3 linked regions of the Nothobranchius furzeri genome follow. The main gene of each other region encodes a partner of the protein of the gene in region 3 in a complex. Links are inferred from orthologs where the notes say so. Each region holds a gene or a part of one and is shown on either strand. Other genes may lie near its edges.

Region 1 (4,413 bases), on a different chromosome or scaffold from region 3:
ATGTGAAGGTCCTTGGCTGGTGTGGTCACATGTGGTCTGCAGTTGTGAGGCTGGTTGGATGTACTGCCAAATTCTCTGAAACTCCTTTGGAGACGGCTTATGGTAGAGAAATGAAATTTAATTTCACGGGCAACAGCTCTGGTAGACATTCCTGCAGTCAGTCTGTTGCACGCTCCCTCAATGGTTGCGACATCTGTGGTGTTGTGGTGTTTGATCAAACTGCACATTTGTGAGTGTCCTTTTATTGTGGGCAGTCTAAGGCACACCTGTACATTATTCATGCCGTCTAATCAGCCCTTTGATATGCCACACCTGGGAGGTGGGATGGATTGTCTTGGGCCCTGTCCACACGTAGCCGGGGATCTGCCAAAAGTAGATATTTTTCAACGTTTTGGCCTGTCATCCACACGAAAACGGAGTTTTCACACCCTCTGTGTGAACCAATGCAAAATCACCTTTGTTAGATGGTAAAAGTAAACCTCAGATCCTCCAGGTTCACCATAAAAATTGGTTATGTGATAATTAAAAACACCTGATTGGTGCAGGTGAGTGGGCAGGTCATCTCCAGTCAACAAGGATGGGTGATGTTATAAATATTAGTAATAAAGTTGTTAATAGTGTTACTAATGAAAACAACTATTAGACATTTCTATTACAAAAAAAATGGTAGACTGATCATGTAATTAAAATGTGTACAAAAACCATCTTAAAGAGATGTTTTTATCAGCTCAGAAGCAAATGGTCCATGGACCGGTACCGGTCCTCAGCCCACAGGATGGAGGACCCTGCTTTGGATGGAGAGGTTCTCCTTATTTGCTGTTTTCTCACTGATGAAAACAACTGAAAAGTATTTCTGATTTTAGCTTTGATCTTAAATCTGGATCCTGTTGGGTTTTAATTCTAAGTTTCATGTTTCAGTTTTACTCCATCAGTTAGAAACATGAAGCTCAGCTGATTCCTCCTCATTCAGCAGGCTGGAGGAGTGAGAACCGTCAGATTAATGAAACATGACCTGGAACCCAGAGACGGACAGAGTTCATCTTCCTGGAGGTCTGAAATAAAAATAAATGGAGAAGTGTGTGTGTGTGTGTGTGTGTGTGTGTGTGTGTGTGTGTGTGTGTGTGTGTGTGTGTGTGTGTGTGTGTGTGTGTGTGTGTGTGTGTGTGTGTGTGTGTGTGTGTCCGTGTGAGAGAGAGAGAGTGTGTGTGTGTGTGTGTGTGTGTGTGCGTGTGTGTGCATGTTAGTGTGTGTCCGTGAGAGAGAGAGAGAGAGAGAGAGAGACAGAGAGAGAGAGAGAGTGTGTGTGTGTGTGATTGTGTGTGTGTGTGTGTGTGTGATTGTGTGTGTGTGATTGTGTGTGTGTGTGTGTGTGTGTGTGTGTGTGTGTGTGTGTGTGTGTGTGTGTGTGTGTGTGTGTGTGTGTGTGTGTGTGTGTGTGTGTGTGTGTGTGTGAGTGAGTGAGGACAGTTGTCGTGCAGCAGGTGGTCGTTGGGGATTTATTTAGCAACGCTTGAAGCTCCCAGTCAGCTGTAAATGCAGCACGAAGCTCAGACCAGAACCAGGGTGGGACCTCTCAGGCCCTCTTAGTTCTGGACGGATCCGACCTTCACAATTTTAAAGTTATTTTCCTGCTGGTTTTCTTCCAGCGGCCGGAGCTCATGGATGGACTCTGATCCTGAACCAGCTGGAGGTGAGACACTAAAATAAACATGGAATGTTTACACATTAAAAACTTTAGTTTTACACACAAATCCAACATGAGAATTCACACACACAAGCATGCACACACGCACACACACAGTTCATTAACCCTAACCCTAACCAAAAACCAGTGTACCTACAAAAGTAAATCTGATTATTTCTCAACTAAAACACCAAAAAAAGCAACAGATGATTGTGGCCGTTTTACTTATTTTTGATTTTCAAAATCAGAATCAAAATATTCAAAATCAGTTAGATTTTAAATGTTTCTGTTGCCTTTTATTGACTAAAATTATTAAATATTTATATTTGTCACATTTAGCCGCAGAACATAAAATTTAATAAGAAACACATTTTAATTTGATGTGTAATAATTTTGTTGTCTTTCAGTCAAATTCTAGAAAATCTTCATTATAAATGTGATATTAATAGAGTCGCACTGAACTAAATGCTACAGACACCCAATGTTTTACAGTCTGTTGTTATTCATCATTAGTTACAGCTGAGGGTTTATTTGAGCCTGTAAGATATGTAATAATGGCTGAAAGTAGAATATTTCAGTATCTAAAATGTTTAATTTGAAGATCCATCCATCCATTTTCTTCCGCTTATCCGGAGTCGGGTCGTGGGAGCAGTAGCCTAAATCGAGAGGCCCAGACTTTCCTCTCCCCAGCCACTTGGGCCAGCTCTTCTGGGGAAATCCCAAGGCGTTCCCTGACCAGGTGAGAGACGTAGTCCCTCCAACGTGTCCTGGGTCTACCTTTAGGTCTCCTCCCAGTTGGACGTGCCCAGAAAACCTCAGGGAGGCATCCAGGAGGCGTCATAATCAGACGCCTGAGCCACCTCAACTGGCTCCTCTCAATGTGGAAGAGCAGTGGATCTACTCTGAGGGTAGGAAGCGTAGATCTACCGGTAAATCGAGAGGTTTGCCTTCTGGCTAAGCTCTCTTTTCACCACGACAGCCCGCCTATTGATCTTGCGCTCCATCTTTCCCTCACTCGTGAACAAGACACCAAGATACTTAAACAACTCCTCTTGGGGCAGGACTTCATTCCTGACCTGGAGAAGGCATTCAATCGTTTTCCTACTCAAGACTATGGTCTCGGATGTGGTGGAGCTGATTCTCATCCCAGCCTCTTCACACTTGGCTGTGAACTGCTCCAGTGAGAACACGTTCTGATGAAGCCAACAGGACCACATTCTCTGCAAAAAGTGTGCAAAACGGATCCCCTCACCACCTTGGCTGCACCTAGAAATCCTGTCCATAAAAGTTATGAACAGAATCAGTGACAAAAGGCAGCCTTGGTGGAGTCCAACTCTCACGGGAAACAAACTCGACTTACTGCCAGCAATACGGACCAAGCTCTGACACAGGTCCTACAGGGACCTAACAGCCCGGATCAGAGGACATGGTACCCCATACACCCGGAGTACCCCCCACAGGGCCCCCCGAGGGACGCGGTGGAACACCATCTCCAAATCCACAAAACACTTGTAGATTGTTGGGCAAACTCCCACGCACCCTCCAGGATCCCCCTAAGAGCATAGAGCTGGTCCAGTGTTCCACGGCCAGGACGAAAACCACATTGATCCTCCTGAATTTGAGGTACGACAGTCCGATGGACCCTTATTTCCAGAACCCTGAATAGACCTTACCAGGGAGGCTCAGGAGTGTGATCCCCCTGTAGTTGGAACACACCCTGCGATCCACCTTTTAAATAGATTTTGATTGAGAGGAAAAGAAAAAATAACATGAAGAACAGATCTGTAAAGCTCTGGTGAAAACAAACGCATTAGAGTATAAAGATTCCTTAAGCCTAAGATATAAATAACAGTCATTCCAGACGTGTGTATTTTTAAGTTGTGTGTGTGTGTGTGTGTGTGTGTGTGTGTGTGTGTGTGTGTGTGTGTGTGCGTGCATGCGTGCGTGTGTTAAATTTAGCCTTCACACACAGCCGTTCCAACATGTTAACCCTAAATGACTGAACTGATCAGATCTAAGATCAGCTCATTGCTGATTAAATCGTCTGATGTCTGGAGCAGAAACATCAGAAATGCCACCATTTTACTCCTGTCATGATTCATTTGTTAACATAATGATTTACTGACATCACAATGTCTGATACTTTTCCAGCAGCCCAACTTCCTGTAACCCTTTAACCCTGGAGCATCAGTATTAGTACATTCACCAGCAGCCTGCCATATCCCATACCAAAATGAATGAAAACACCTTAATTGATGGACAAAACCAAGACAGAAGGAAAGGTTTCTGGGTTAAAATTTAAAGAGAGCTCTTTGACAATCCAGGTTGGATCTAAAATCTGGTTTCCTGATGTTCTGTTTTCTCTCTTGATTGGATTAAATTTATTATTCCTAAATGTGGAAATCCTATTTTTATGAGCTGAAAAAATAAAAGTGCAGAAAAAAAACGAGTTTTAATCAATAAGATTTCATCCACACGCCTAAAACGAGACACAATGTTGAAACTCATCTGAAGTAAAACACTGAAACAAATCTTCATCTGATGAATCAAACGTTCAAAATCAAACAAACTTTTTTAATTTAATACAGTTAGTTTTGAATCTTTTTTCTGTTAGAAGTCTGAAGGTTGAACCAATCGTTGTGGGGAATCACTCTAAGCCCTGCCCCTCGCTGCTGATGTTTGTTCTACAGATAAAAAATCAAAACAGGCAAAAGTCCAACTGTGAATGA
Region 2 (2,806 bases), on a different chromosome or scaffold from region 3:
GATTTATTTTAAAATTCTCCCAAGATTTTCAATGAAATATTTAGAAAACAAGTGTTCTAATTTTTTTCTTCCTTTTTGCAGATTACCATCATCTTCAAGCCGTATGAGGGCTGCACAGATCAGAGGGTCTACCAGGCTGTCACAGACAACCTTCCTGCTGCCTTTGATGATGGGACGGTGAGCAGTGGAGACCCCATCCACAAGTCTCTTGGAGCAGATGGTGCAGCTGGGAAGGTCCGGGCTCTGTGGATCTCTGAGCGCAGTCCTGGGCGCCATGTGGAGCTGCATGCTGGATACATCGGCGTAACTATAATTGTTCGCCAGTTGGGACGCTACCTGACGCTGGCGGTGCGGATTCCTGAGGAGCTGGCTCAGGACTACGATGACACCCAGGACCTTCAGCTGTGTCTGAACGGCTGCCCCGGCAGCGAGCGCATCGACCAGGCGGGACATCTTCCCCTCCCGCTGTCTCCTCCAGCACTCGGTCTACAGCGACAGCAGTTGCGTCAGCCCAGTTTCTCCTCACAGACACAAGCACATCCCTATGGCGCCACGCAGATTTTTGGTGTTGAAGGGGCGAAGGAGCGTTGCAGAGAGCAGCTGGAGGTGCTGGACATTTATTTCCACTCTTGTGTGTTTGATCTCCTGACCACCGGGGACGCTAACTTCACAGTGGCTGCATACAGCGCTCAGAAGGACATGGAAAGTCTCCATCCACACCAGGATCGGTGGAGGATCTACCCCCGTGGTTCTGCCACATCCATCTTCCGTTCTGATTCACAGTCTATCAAACATTTCGCTCTGCTCCTGCTGTGCGCTTTGAGCTCTGTTGTGGCGTCAGCCAGTATGTGTGCCTGAATGCATGTAGGCCCATGTTTGTGTGTGTGTGTGCGCGCGCAGTAGGAAGAGAGTTTAGGACATTGTTTTTGATTGTTTTTGCTGAGCACTGATAATGAATACTGATGCCATTCTCATGCAGAGAGGAGGCAGCAGGCGGGACACTTACTGGGAACTGGAAGTCGTTTAAAAGAGGCGATGAGCCCCCCTCCCAGTGTGCACAGGAAAACTGTCTGTCAGAACCAGAATCAGAAAATGCAGCCGACAATAAAACCAATGCTGTTATTTGGATGAATCGACTGTAAATAGATCATTTATTTCTTCCGTGCACATTGTAATGATGTTGATGTTTTTTGATTTGCCATTTGATGTGATTTTTAAAAAAAAAAAGTACCTCAGACAGAGGATTTTCTTAACAAAAGCACTTTATTTTAACATTTTATTCCACACAATGCCAGTCAGTGTTTCTTCTTCACTTTCTGTCCTCCACCAAAACTCACAACTGTTCATATTTTCTCTGTATCTCGTTGTTCCATCACACTTTTTCTTAAAGATAAAGTCATTTGAATGGTTGGAGCTGACATTTTGGTTTAAATGCACCATTCTACCAGTAGCTGACTGGACTCAGTCAATGTGAGGTTTTCTGTTGAATGTATTAGCTATGGCGTTGCAGCAAACGCCATCAGTACTTTGTTAGTAAATGGTTTCAAGTGTGTGTGTGTGTAAAAGTGTTTAGACTTGTCAGGTTCTTTATTTGAAAGCAGCTGAAGAATGTGGCTTCGTTTTACGTGAGTCACATTAGAAGTATTCCAATCGTTTTGCCAAATTTAAGTGACTACACTATCACGTTTTGTACTCGCCGTATTTTTCTGTTACAATTTGAGCCAAAGACCGATCATTTATGTTTCTCTGTACAGGAACTCTCTACCAAACCAGCATCTGTATCCTGTTTGTTTTAAATTAGCTACTTGTAATCTGTTTTCTCCCTATTCCGGATGTTTCTTATTAAGATGCATGTAAAGCAATGCAGGAATAATTCTTAAAAAAATGTCGGATGACTGGGAAAACTTCACCTTACTGTGCTGTTGTACAATTTGCAAGCGCAGCGTTGATGCCTGGTAGAAAATTCAACCCCTATAAATATGTAACATATGTAGATCAGTTTAAGTTTTTCACATTGTGATCTCTTTTCATCATGTGAGTGTCAGTTTGGTGAAGAGTGACTGGTCAGTGTTGAAATAACTAACTTATTTATAAACGTAGTGTCCCGTAGAGGAAGTTAAGCTCCATATTCTTGCTGTTGGATAATTATTTAAAAGAAATGTCAGCTGTGATTGTACTGCCACCTAGTGGTGCTCTCTTGCTTTGTCGGTGTGTTACTAAAGGCGCTCAAAATCAAACAAAAAGGAAACAAAATGTGTGCTTGTGTTTTATTTATTACAATAAAGTCAAAACGGTTCATGATGCTTAACTTTAACATTTAAGACTTGTAATGAAATAATAGACAAATCAAGAATGCCAAAAACAAACAAAAAGATTTTTAAAAAAGGTGTAAAATTGACCAGATCTCTCAGTTCTTTTTATTGTAATACAAGATCTGGATCATTTCGTACTAACAGAACTTCCACACACAAGTTTAAAGACACACACACACACACACACACACACACACACACACACACACACACACACACACACACACACACACACACACACACACACAACAGATAGAAGCATTAAAACACCTGTGTGAGGTTAGGCTTCGATCAGATACCAGGTTTGGCCTCACAAACACAATCTGTTTTCAACTGCCACAGTCAGCGACACCTGGGCCGGGAACAGACTCAAAAAGGCGCCACTGAGGATTTTTAACAGCTAAATCTTCAAGTTCATGTAACTGTACTGAAAACCCACATTCAACCCATCTTTATGAAGGCACTCATGAGGATGAGAACATCTTGTAGGGTGG
Region 3 (4,335 bases):
CAGGCATAGCCGATACTCAAGAGCCAGTAAGAGTATACTACATGGTCATTATTCATTCCTCATCTGTGTGTGTGTGTGTGTGTGTGTGTGTGCACGTGCGTGTCTGTGTGTGTGTGTGTGTGTGTGTGTGTGTGTGTGTGTGTGTGTGTGTGTGTGTGTGTGTGTGTGACGACCAAATAGGTCACCTGACTTTCATGGTTCTGATTACTGTTTAAGGTTCTTGGATGAGGTTTAAGTCCTGAACTCCTGACCCAGGATCAGAGCTGAAGAACATCTTAAAGGAACAGGAGAAGAAGTCCTGTTTTGTTTCTTCATCCTACCTCATCAGAGTTTTATTTCCGCTCTGAACTCCATGCAGATGAAAACATTTCTGAGTCAAAGTCATGGTTTGTTTCATCAACCTGCCACTTTACCTTCCTGTGATGTGACTTAGTGAGGGTTTGGCACCAACAGCAACTTGAAACAGGAAAGAGTCTTTTGGCTCTTTGGTGCAAAACCTGCAGCAAAAGTTAAGCATGACTAATGGTGAATGAATGGAGCCCATTTGGTCAGCCATGACATGTTAAAATATTTAAAAAACAAGAATCTAAACTTCTCTCTAATCTGTAGACTCATGACTTTATGAAAGGTTTAATGCATCTTTTTCCATATAATCATCTGAGGAAGGAGGTCAGATGTGAGGGTTGCTTTTCTCTACTGAATTATCAGAGGCTTCACTCAAGCTAATGATTAGTCCTAATTTTAATCTGAGTTTTGGGGTCTTCAGATCAAACCTCAACAGATGTCTACGTGTTCTCCAGCTTGGGACTCACCTTCAGGGCTTCATCTCATTGTGTTTTATAAAGTAACTGGAGCCTCAGTCTCCTTCATCTGGCCTTAGAATAGGAAACATCCAGCTGCTGCAGCTCTTCAGAGCCACACAGATGTGTGTGTGTGTGTGTGTGTGTGTGTGTGTGTGTGTGTGTGGGGCAGCAGTAGCTCAACAGGTTGAGCGGGTTTTCCAGTAGTCGGAAGGTTGCAGGTTCGATCCCGGCTCCGGACAGAGAATTCTGCTGTTGTGTCCTTGGGCAAGACACTTAACCCAGCTTGCCTGCTGGCGGTGGTCGGAGGGACCAGTGCTCGGCAGCCTCAACTCTGTCAGTGTGCCCCAGAGCAGCTGTGGCTACATCGTAGCTCATCACCATCAGTGTGTGAATGGAAGAATGATACACTGTAAAGCGCTTTGGAGTCCTTACTCTGGCGGGCGCTATACAAAAGTGGGTCATTTATCATTTATCATAATTTGTGTGTGTGTGTGTGTGTGTGTGTGTGTGTGTGTGTGTGTGTGTGTGTGTGTGTGTGTGTGTGTGTGTGTGTGTGTGTAAAAGAGGGAGGAAGATGTGGGCTGAATTATCACTGTTAAATGAGTTGGGACAGAATGACATCACGGCGTAATTAAAGCCGCTCTCTGGAATTCCTGCTCAGGTCTGCTGCAGGATTCTGGAGCACCTGCGGGTTGTTGTGTGTGAGTGAAATATTTTCACTGGACAGAGTTCAAGCTTTGGAGGGAAAGAGAAAAAACGGAGGCAACCGCATTACGCCATACTCTCCTCACATGGAAAAAAGAAGTGGGATTTAAAGAAGTTGTTACATGGTACCAAGCAGAACAGTTCGCTGGAGAGCAGAAGACGGGTCCAGGTCTCAGAGTCTCACCTGTCCACCATCAGCAGTATGGTTCTGACACCTGACCCTGACCAAATGACTCTTTTAACCCTGTGAGAGTCAGACCCCGTTTCTCTAGCGTTTGGGAGCGAGACGCGCATTTTGGACCTCACGGGTCTGAGGATGAGAAAGGTCACTGAACTTCCCGCGCTCCTGGTGTCGGCTCAGCGGGTCAGATCGTTCTGAAGAGATTTATAGACGATGTGCCAAAAGGCTGCAGAGATTTAGGATGAGAGTGAAGAATCTTCCCCTTCTGCTCAGCTGGACGATAGTCTTCCTGCATCCCGTCCGCGGTTCGCTCAGCAGAACCAGAACCACCTTGGAGCGAACGGGAGGAACCGCTGGCTCTTGGAAACCAGCTCCTCGTGTGCGCGTGAGTGCGCTGCCGACCACAGGTGAGACGAATTTTGCCAGTCAGAAACCAGCGGGGATCTCCGCTGCACCGGGGAGGCTGGACCAGCCGCAGCAGGACGGAGCGCAAAGATCCGCGTGCAGAGAGGCTGTGTGCTCCTGGCGTCCCGCCGCTAAGGCACGTGTTGAAGCGCACGCGCCCGCAGCTGTTAACGCAAATGCTGCCAGGAAAGGAACTGAGACGTTTGGAGGAGGTGGCTCACCGGGGAAAGCCGCTTCCAGGGCGGGCGCAGCAGCCGCCGCTGCGCGCAGCGGGTATGAGCAAAAACAGAGCGCGGCTGTGGAGCGGGGCGTCAGCATCAAGTCACCGAAACCAGGCGCCAGGCAGCCGGTGGTGACCCCTCACGACTACATGCTGTCTCTGTACTGGTCACTGAGCAGCGGAGACGTGAACAGCAGCGCGGCTCTGGCCAACACCATCACCAGCTTTGTGGACAAGGGACAAGGTAACTGTCTCTGTCCTCTATAACGAAGACTATAGGCTTTCAAAGGAACAGAAAGAAAGAAAGAAAGAAAGAAAGAAAGAAAGAAAGAAAGAAAGAAAGAAATGAAAAACTGAATAACTTTCCTAGGATTTGGATCCAGTTCTGGGATCAGATGGTTTGGAAGCAGCAGAATGTTCTGTCGGTCATGTTTCAGTTGTAGGGAAACATCACTGCTGCTGCTCACACACAAACCTTACTTAAAACCAACCATTTAGTTCTGAGTGAAGATTTGGTGAAGGAGGGCTCTGTAGACCTCCACAGATCTAGGATCAGTAGGAGAAAGAACAGGATCTGAAGGGAAGGCCTGTGATTGGTTTAGCTCATACTGGAATAAAAGATATTTTAGTGTTTGCATTGAAAACTGTTCTTCTCGACCTCTAGGGTCCCCCAGGGTTCAGTTTTGGGTCCTTAGCTTTTCTCGATCTACATACTTCCTCCAGGCATCATTCTAAAAAAACTTAGTAAACTATCACATTTAATGCCTGGCAAGCCCGACTAAATAATATATTATTAAGTCCGGCAACACTCCATCGATGGCTCTCGGGCTCTACAGTTGCCTTTCAAACGATCTCCCGCACGCTACTGGACAATGAACAACGTGGCATACTCACCACAACGGATGTCGATAAACGAGGTTGTAGAAGGTAAAAATACATCCTTTTTCTAAATAAACAACTTAAAAACGTGTATCTGCTCCTGGTTCAATAAAGCCCAAGTCCCAATAGTCCAGAATTAATGTAAAACCCATTTAAAATGAGCGGTCGCCATTTTTTTCCACTCTTGCATCATCCCGCCCACCAGACAAACAGAGGTCCGTGATTGGTCCACAAAGCAGATAGGTCACTGTGACCGGCCCACCATTGTGGACCAATCACAGCGCTCTATCAGTTTGAAACCCCTCTAGAGAGCTGTGATTGGCCAGCCAGAATGCTGCTAGGGGCTGCAGAGGTTCTAGTGGAGCGTTCCTAGACCAAAGTTTGGTCTAGTTCACTAGACTAGTTCTGGGCTAGTTCACTAGGCTACACATGTATGCAGATGACTGACTACTACTATGTCAGCCCAAGCTCTCCTGCAGTCTGTGTTCAGGATCGTTCCTCTGTAATTAAAACCTGTTTTTCCTCTAATTACCTTCATCTAAATGAGGACAAAACCAATGCTATTGTAATAAAAGTAGCCGTGGGCAGCACGGGCAGAATATCTTGCCCTCCGGTCAGAACCTGAACACACCACCAGTAGGCAACGACTTATAAAAGACACACTTTATTGCACAACCAATAATAAAACACAACGATAAAACACCATGGCCCAAGCCCTCTCTTGTAAAACCAACTGTCCAGCATGAGTCACGTAAGCAGCGGTACTTAGCTGTCACGGATGGTGTGACCCCCGTCCCCGGGGTCTGAGCTTCCAACGCCGTCCAACGCCCCGGGGTGTAGCTTGCGAGGACGGCGGGTAAATCCACAACATAAGTCCACTGCCAGAGTCCGTAGCGGCAGATGTCGGCGCGGCCTTGGCATCACCTATGCCCAGCCCTAACTGTCTAAAGAAGGCGACCAGCCTTCCCTCCTGGCGCTGGAACACTAAACACCTGTTCAGCTATCTTCGTCGCCGGCAGCCCTACCCGGCTGCGAACGACCCCTCCCCCCAAAGTCCGATGCCACAATGACAGGTCGACCACGCACCCCTCTCAGCAGACCTGTCACCTTTTTATCCTCCCTGGCCTCGTTATCCATAACGA

Evidence for each region.
Region 1: the proteins of gdf5 (region 3) and hjv are in contact, whole or in part, in a crystal structure (PDB 6Z3L), measured with the Homo sapiens proteins. The link is inferred for Nothobranchius furzeri from reciprocal best matches to the Homo sapiens genes GDF5 and HJV. Residues at the interface, in NP_000548.2 of Homo sapiens: Met412, Trp414, Trp417, Phe478, Asp480, Ser481, Lys488, Tyr490, Met493; in NP_001366281.1 of Homo sapiens: Arg95, Arg98, Gly99, Leu101, His104, Ser105, His108.
Region 2: the proteins of gdf5 (region 3) and rgmb are in contact, whole or in part, in a crystal structure (PDB 6Z3J), measured with the Homo sapiens proteins. The link is inferred for Nothobranchius furzeri from reciprocal best matches to the Homo sapiens genes GDF5 and RGMB. Residues at the interface, in NP_000548.2 of Homo sapiens: Leu396, Arg399, Phe435, Pro436, Leu437, Arg438, Ser439, Asn445, Val448, Ile449, Leu452, Ser455, Met456; in NP_001353437.1 of Homo sapiens: Gln57, Thr60, Phe63, Val64, Thr67, Ser68, Leu70, Asn71, Tyr88, Leu103, Val104, Ser107, Ala108, Leu110, Gly111, Ile112, Asp114, Leu115, Gln118.

Annotation. Positions count from the first base shown.
Region 1 is NC_091745.1:60,112,963-60,117,375, forward strand, and holds the start of hjv (hemojuvelin), read left to right. Parts: upstream 1-1,464; 5' UTR 1,465-1,690; intron 1,691-4,413. UniProt on the Homo sapiens protein: Acts as a bone morphogenetic protein (BMP) coreceptor. Through enhancement of BMP signaling regulates hepcidin (HAMP) expression and regulates iron homeostasis.
Region 2 is NC_091757.1:44,843,531-44,846,336, reverse strand, and holds the end of rgmb (repulsive guidance molecule B), read left to right. Parts: intron 1-81; coding exon 82-858; 3' UTR 859-2,296; downstream 2,297-2,806. UniProt on the Homo sapiens protein: Member of the repulsive guidance molecule (RGM) family that contributes to the patterning of the developing nervous system. Acts as a bone morphogenetic protein (BMP) coreceptor that potentiates BMP signaling. Promotes neuronal adhesion.
Region 3 is NC_091743.1:78,134,654-78,138,988, reverse strand, and holds the start of gdf5 (growth/differentiation factor 5), read left to right. Parts: upstream 1-1,386; 5' UTR 1,387-1,930; coding exon 1,931-2,558; intron 2,559-4,335. UniProt on the Homo sapiens protein: Growth factor involved in bone and cartilage formation. During cartilage development regulates differentiation of chondrogenic tissue through two pathways.